Bombyx mori: one gene and its partner. The protein of the gene in region 1 interacts with the protein of each later gene in a pairwise test. Links are inferred from orthologs where the notes say so. Each region holds a gene or a part of one and is shown in the gene's direction. Other genes may lie near its edges. The genes, in order: serine/threonine-protein kinase NLK; dihydrolipoyllysine-residue acetyltransferase component of pyruvate dehydrogenase complex, mitochondrial.

The links.
Region 2: the proteins of serine/threonine-protein kinase NLK (region 1) and dihydrolipoyllysine-residue acetyltransferase component of pyruvate dehydrogenase complex, mitochondrial interact in a two-hybrid assay, tested with the Caenorhabditis elegans proteins (2 studies listed by BioGRID, with this or other methods). The link is inferred for Bombyx mori from reciprocal best matches to the Caenorhabditis elegans genes lit-1 and dlat-1.

The regions. Positions count from the first base shown.
Region 1 is NC_085116.1:3,741,024-3,744,855, reverse strand, and holds part of serine/threonine-protein kinase NLK, read left to right. Parts: intron 1-1,562; coding exon 1,563-1,689; intron 1,690-2,830; coding exon 2,831-3,001; intron 3,002-3,832. UniProt on the Caenorhabditis elegans protein: Has a role in the Wnt signaling pathway controlling the asymmetry of cell divisions during embryogenesis. Operates in the AB and EMS cell lineages influencing cell specification.
Region 2 is NC_085109.1:9,381,780-9,386,151, reverse strand, and holds the end of dihydrolipoyllysine-residue acetyltransferase component of pyruvate dehydrogenase complex, mitochondrial, read left to right. Parts: intron 1-413; coding exon 414-613; intron 614-1,636; coding exon 1,637-1,739; intron 1,740-2,650; coding exon 2,651-2,780; 3' UTR 2,781-3,649; downstream 3,650-4,372. UniProt on the Caenorhabditis elegans protein: The pyruvate dehydrogenase complex catalyzes the overall conversion of pyruvate to acetyl-CoA and CO(2).

The DNA.
Region 1 (3,832 bases):
TATAATGAGGTATTATGTGGTTGAATGAGGTTTTGTTATTTTTATTATATATTCCCTCATCGTTTACAGCGCTACATACCTCTTTCACTCATTTACCACATCCTTACACACTTACAATAAGTTAGTTTTTTTTCTACACTAGAAATTCCCTATAAATCTTATATATGGCAAAACAATGTTTGCCGGGTCAGCTAGTAATATTATATAATTATTAACATTAGAAGTCCCGCAGTAGTCGAAATTCGACTATAATTAATTGGAATTGTATAATATGTTTGTACACTATTATGATTGTATCTTATACTTCTATAATCACAAATTTCGCCAAGGCTATAAATAATATTAATAAAGACAAACAATATTTAATGAATTCTCAATTTGACAACAGACGTCAAGAACAAAAGCTTGACAATTAATAGTATGCATGCGTGTGTGCGTCAAATACTTGGTATGTAGTGTGTGTAATGTTTTCTTTATTGATTTAATGTATCTTTTATGCTTTATTTAAAAAAAATATTAGCATTGTGAACTTCTTCTCTATATTCCCTATGAGTGTGGAAAATTTCATACTTCTCCGTCCGCGCAATTTTCTTAAAAAGGGATAGAAAGTTTTTGCTTCACGTATTAATATATAGGTAATAATTCGCTTTATATCGAGCGAAGATATAAAATTGTTGTCCTGATCAGTATCAACAGGATGAAAGAAAGAAAGATTAAATTAATTGTTATTTAAATGTGTTTTCTTAGTTTTTAAATTAGAAGTATTTTATATCCGTCATCCAAAAAGTTCAATTGAGTAAAATCTAACTTTTTAATAATTCGTGATTGTTTCGAAGGTCTTTTGTTTGGAATTTCACGACATTCTGGTCGGATTAGTTGGAAACGTTCATTGAGTGACACGGGCCTTGACGATGTCTATCTTTAGTTATTTTGAGACTTAATGATGTTACGGTTGCTTCCTTATCAACAATGCAATACTTCAAGGAGGACAGAGACGCATACGTTAATAAAAAGGCAGGTATTCAGCGCGGGTAGGTACTACCACCCTGCCTATTTCTGCCGTGAAGCAGCAATGCATTTCGGTTTGAAGGGTGGGGTAGCCGTTGTAACTATACTGAGACCTTAGAACTTATATCTCAAGGTGGATGGCGCATTTACGTTGTAGATGTCAATGGGCTTCAGCAACCATTTAACGCCAGGTGGGCTCTGAGGTTGTCCACCCACTTAAGCAATAAATAAATAATAGTTTAAAAAACTAAAAAAATACGCTTTTATAGAAAATCCCACTAAAAATAGAAAATAAATCTTAATAAATATGAATTAAAGATAGTGTAAGAAAAAATGATTTTACTGTAAGAAAAGCGTGGAGTGCATGGTATAGTACAGTAGCTATAAATATTTTATGAATAGATATGAGTAGAAGGGTTATTTTGTTAATATCCTGTTAATCCGACGTTTTGGAGGGGGTCAAAATTATGTTCACGTCTGAAGCTAATGAAAGCGTATTAAAAAAAGTTATCTATGGGGATATTTGAAAAAAAAAACCTCTGATTATGTTCCAGAGCCCCTGAGATTCTGATGGGAGCGAACCATTACACAGCAGCTGTTGACGTCTGGTCGGTCGGCTGTATATTCGGCGAGCTACTTGGCAGGCGTATCTTATTCCAGGCACAGAGTCCCGTTCAACAGGTGAGTGTAGCATATGTCAAAAGTTAATTACATACAAACTCAATAGTCAAGTGAGAGAAGAATCGGCGTTTTTCATTTTATTTATTTATTTATGTACACATAAAAAGGAAGACATAGTACAGAGTAATAGGAAAATTATGTACAAAGGCACTGCTTATTTCTTTAAGAAATCTTTTCCAGCAGACCTGCGAGAGGATTATGAGAATAATAATTAAAAGTGATGAGTGTGTGTAGAACATCTAAAATAACAAATACAACATTAGAATTATAGTAATGCACACACACATAGCAAATATTGTTAAACTTGAATACAAAATATTATAAGTAACACAGTATATACGTAGAGTATAGTACAATGTTCATTCGTTTGATGAGAGATAGAATTGTTTGACCTTAGTTTTATTAGTATTCGCTCAGAAATCCAAATCTATCATAATCACTTATAATTTTTTTTGTATATTGTTATTATACAAAATAGACAAAATACAAATACAAATTTTATTTAAAAAAAAAAGTGGGTAGTACTAAAATTCCTAACCAAAGAGAGTGGTAAACGACAATCACTTGTCAAACCGGAGGAAATGGTACATACATATTTCATTTGTTTTTACTTATATATGTATATATAAGTGTTAGACAGAGAGAGACAGAGGACTATTGTTAGAATTGACGTCACACTTTATGTTTGTTACAAATTCCAACACAGGAAGTGTTCCTTAAAGACGATAAAGCATCCCCTCTGAAAATTTTTAATCGATTTTCCTTGACCTTGATTATACTATACTGTAATATGTATTTAGGGGACAAAGGTTTTTTTTTATTGCTTAGATGGGTGGACGAACTCACAGCCCACCTGGTATTAAGTGGTTACTGGAGCCCATAGACATCTACAACGTAAATGCGCACATCCATCTTGAGATATAAGTTCTAAGGTCTCAAGTATAGTTACAACGGCTGCCCTACCCTTCGAACCGAAACGCATTACTGCTTCACGGCAGAAATAGGGGCAGGGTGGTAGTACCTACCCGCGCGAACTCACAAGATATCCTACCACCAGTGCATCACAAGAGGTCCTACCACCAGTGCATCACCGATCACCGGGTTGGTTCTCGCATCCAAAAAATATGAACGAAAATTCTAGTTGGAGTTGATAACTGATCTGCTGGGCACGCCGTCGCTTGAGGATATGCGTCACGCGTGTGCAGGAGCCCGCGCACACATGCTTCGCCGCGCGCCCCGCCCCCCTGCCCTCGCGGCCCTCTACACGCTCTCCGTTCAAGCCACACACGAGGCCGTGCATCTACTCGCGCAGGTCTGTGACGTCAGCTTCACAATGATAATAATATTATGTTCAACAAAATAGGTAGTGCAATCGGTCGAGGTCGAGTCGAGGGTCGTAGGTTCGATTCCCGCATCGGCCAAACATTTTTGTGATGAACAGGTTTGTTTTGGTCTATGTCTGGGTATTTACTATCAATATATGTATATATTTAGACGTATGTAAGGACTTTTTGGCGGGAACGCGAGGAGTGAAGCTGTGTGATTTGTTTTATTTTGTCTATTTAGTGTTTCTTCAGGTTTAAATGTGTAATAACGGTGGTTTATTAACTGTTTCGTATCTGTGACAGTGCAACAATGTGGGAAAATCAAACAAAGCCGCTGAACGTAACTTCTCGGGATCCTCCAAAAAGTCCACCGAAAAAGTCTCAGTAAATGTCCATTTTACTGAGATTATATTTCATACCATATCATATCATCTCATTTCATTTCACTTTATTTCATATTATCATTTTTCATAAAATTATAAATATAAATTAAGATAAGACTTGACCTAAATGTCTTAGTTACCAGGTCATAAAATCCCTTAAAAAAGACTTATATAAGTATGCCTGTCCCAAGGGCGGATCCAGCTTTGGCGCCAGGAGGGGGTCACATAGTCGTGGGCAAGCTAAGAACTTATAATTTAATTTTGATAACAATAGATAATAAATAAATCATGATGTTCTTCAATTAGTCCAAGTTAGTTCAAGTCCTGGAACTAGCTCAGGGGGGGGTCATGACCCCCATGACCCCCATGACCCCCCCCCCCTGGATCCGCCGTTGGCCTGTCCTAATTTGGGGCCGATTGGGGGCGATTTGTTCC
Region 2 (4,372 bases), on another chromosome or scaffold:
AGCGCACAATCTCGAAGTTTTGGAAGTGTCTCACGTATATTGCTGAGGCACGACCCTGTCTTCAATAAAGGCGTCATTCTATTACAAATAATTTATAAATTTTAGAAATAAAGGATAATAATAATAATAATAAAATAATAATAAATAATAATACAAGAATAAAATAAAAATAAGAATAATAATAAAGGATTTAAATAGTACAAGATATTATGTTTCTTAGTTATTGTTTACCTTTTAAATCTTTATTATCAAAACTATGCACACATTTCACTATGTGTCTTTTCATACGAAGCGAATTATTAAAGGATTTAAATGACGTACCTACCTAAGCTTTAACGTTAAATGATGTATCATCTAATCATGATATTGAAACCGACTTTTCTTTGAAATAATTTTTTTTTGTCTATCATCAGATTCTCCAACGTAGACGTGAGTGTGGCCGTGGCGACTCCGACCGGCCTCATCACGCCGATCCTGCACAACGCTGACTCCCGGGGCATCATCGACCTCTCGAAGAACATGAAGCAATTGGCGCAGAAAGCCAAGGACGGTAAACTTCAACCTCAAGAGTACCAGGGCGGTACTGTCACGGTATCGAACCTAGGAATGTACGGTATGTATTCTTTATCTACGTTTAGCTGTGTAAACATATGACATCTCGTTTTGGATGGAGTTTTAACAATAATAAAAATAATTGAGAATAACTCACACACGCTCAGCGTGGTATGGTCATGTGATGCGTAGAGAGAAGATGCATGTGACTGACTAGGAGATGTATGGAAATGCTAGTGCAAGGTAGAGGGGGAAGAGGTCGACCGAAGAAGACATGGATGGAGTGTGTGAATGACGATATGAGAGAGAGAGGAGTGAGTATTGAGATGACGGCTGATCGAAGAGAATGGAAGAGAAAAATCAGCTGTGCCGACCCCACCTAGTGAGATAAGGTGGAGAAAAAGAAGAAGAGAAGTCACACACGGTCGTCTGGCCCCAATTTAGGGTTCCTTGTGTTATGGGTACCAGTGATTGATTTAGATACGTTCGTATATATACATATATTATAGATAGTAAACACTCAGACAAAAAGCAAACATTACCTGTTCACCGCACAATGTTTGCCCGATATGGGAATCGAACAACAGTTAAGCAACAGTTAAGGGCGCTAACCATCCGACTCAGTCGATTATTATTATTATATTATTGAAGTGTTATTGATTCGATGAAAACAGGCAGAGGTGACAAAAACAAATGACAATAACGTGTTATATACCCTAACTTTATGTAATATTCCGATATGCAATAGGAATTTTACCACATATATACATTGGCGTACGTGACTGTCGTGAACGCTGAGACAGCATTGCAACACACTAGAAACGGTGCATTGACGTAAATGGCACATTGACGCACATGAGTGCGGGGACGCCGATTCAGCACCTTTACCTCATGGAGCTTCGAAGCCAGCCACGGGGCCCGCACTTCTGAACTCACATCGTCGGAAGACAGACCAGTAGCATTAATTAAGTTTAAGTTTCATTGTAATCTTTTTAATTTTAATAAACTTTAGATTCATTTTCGGTTTTCTTTAAGACCTTAGGCTGCGACCTCCGTAATTAACGAAAGTGTTTGTTGTCGACAGGTATTACGATGTTCAACGCCATCATCAATCCCCCCCAGTCGTTCATTATAGCTTGCGGCGGCGTACAAGAACTGGTCATTCCAGACCAAAGTGAACCAAACGGGTATGTTGTTTGTTAGCTATCAGCATGACCACCAGCCAAATAGACTCAACAGCGTGCCTGTCATCAGGTCAAATCCCAACTATAATTTCCGCGTCTGAATACGTCGTGTTGGAGCCCCCGTACCGCAGCACCGTAAGCTTCCATTAGCGTTCCAATTTGTGTGTACAGCCATTAAAAACTACTAATAATCAGAGGTCGGCTAGAGTCGTTCTCTCCGGACAAAAGGTGTCGGTTTGTGACTATAATGACTACTGTGGTTTTATTTATTTATTGCGTATATGGGTTGACGATCTCACAGCCCACCTAATGTTAAGTGATTAAGGGAGCCCATAGACATCTCTAAAACGTAAATGTCGCCTCCCACCTTGAGATATGAGTTCTAAGGTCTCAGTATAGTTATAGTGTCTTTTATACGTGTTCATTTATTAGGATATTCATGACGAGAAAGCCAAATTTTTTTCCACCGAATTTACGATTCAACTTATATTAACTTAATATCTATCAATCCACACTATAAGAGCGAAAGAGATAGAATACGTTTTAAATTTCACTTCTACCGTTGTGTTTTGCAACGGAAATGACACTCGATAAGCGACACTACCAAAAGTAAAACTGATATCAGCTATAGGATTATATAACTATAGGATTTAGTTTTGCAAGCGAACGATGTTTCACTACCGCTTTATTATTTTATTTATTTATTTATGTAATATGTACACACAGAAAAGAAGACATAGTACAGAGTAATAGGAAAATTATGTACAAAGGCACTGCTTATTTCTTTAAGAAATCTCTTCTAGCAGACCTGCGAGAGGATTATGATAATAATAATTAAAAGCGATGAGTGTGTGTAGAAGAGCTAAAATAACAAATACAACATGAGAATTGCATAATTTTTTTGTTTATTCCAGCTTCCGAACAGCCAAGTTCGTCACGTTCACAGCGTCGGCCGACCACAGGGTGGTGGACGGAGCGATCGGCGCTCAATGGATGAAAGTATTCAAGGAGAACCTCGAAGATCCCGCCAACATCATTTTATAAATAGAGAAACGGTCCTACCTCAATTCAGCTTAACGAAAGGATGTCGCGAAAACGTATACACATAGACGAACATTTCTAATTCCGATATTAAAAAAAAAAAAAAAAAACTGACATTTTAAGGTTAAGTGTTTTGAAACGGTATTAATTTATTTTTAACAACAAGTTGTATTTTTTTATTATAGTCGCTTTTACCGGTATCCGTATTAAAAAAGGGAGAAAAAAAGTAAAATTTATTGTAACCTGTCAAGAGATGGCCTCGTGTGTTTTTGGCTCCTTTGGATGTCCTGTATCACCGTAAGACGGGGACACAGAACATACATTTTTTTTTCATCACAATATTATTAGTACAATTTTCGCATTTTATTTCGATCACAAATAAAAAGTTTAGTTTTGCTCGTTCAAAGGACCAAAGTAGTTAATCGAAATAAGAAAAAGCTTAACTTTAAGCTTTGATAAACAGTTTGATCGTCGCGGTTTTCTTAATATTTAATTTATATATTTATTCTGTGGTTACGCTTTTAATGAGTGAGCTTTTGCTGAAAGCGCGTATTTAATAAAACTATAATTGTGATTTATGAGAAACGACCGAAAAAAAATCTCGTGACGAAATATACATTTTTACGCATTTTATTATAATAATTTAAAAAGAAGTAGGGTTCGGAATGTAGATCTACATATTTATTGTAATTTACTGTAAATATGTAATAATAATTCGTTACAGCTGTGACGTCAGTATGGAAACTAATGTATGCATTGAAACGAAACGAAGCATTATTTTGTTTTGTTAAAAATTTTGTAATGTTACTTTGTAACGTTTTGATGATGCTAGATTATTTATGAACGTTAGTGAAATATATTTTACTTACAGACGAGTTTGTTTTATTTTTTGGATTTCATTAAAATTAATATAAAGTTTTACTTTCACACCAGTTGGTGTTTTTGTCAATTTCTACTGTCATGAAATTCGCCTGATTGGAATTGGACTAATGCTGAAATTAGCTCGAAGTTTAGAGTTAAGTTTAAAAAGGATAAAAACAGTATCAATCTTTTGTGTTAGTTGTGTTCTGATTTCCAGAGTAAAAAATATAAACAAACCAAAAATTTGAAAAACTATAATTATGTACCTACATACATATTAAATATACAAACAAAATTAGTAATACCTATGGAAACATAATATGGCAATGACATTAAAAAATGGCTAGTCAAAAACTTTTTTCACACAGACGACAATTCAATACAATTCTAAAATTTACTCTGTCTGTTAAGCGGAATATTAATATTCCCTAATGAATGTATTTCTTAAACTATTAGATCATTCAGGTCGTGCCCTTGCGTGTAAAAAATTCGTGAAAAAATGAAACACGATCTATTAAGCTTCAAATTGGCAATTCATGTCAAGGTCTGACGTATGTCACGCTTAATCACAAATGAATAACAATAAAAGGTATTTATGTAATAACAATCTAGAAAGTAGAATTTCTCACGGTGTGTAGCTTTTTATCATTTCAGATGTTGATGGGGCGGAAATGGCTCTAATTTATTACCACTAATTTATTTGCAATTTAAGTACCTACTAACTCAATAGTACA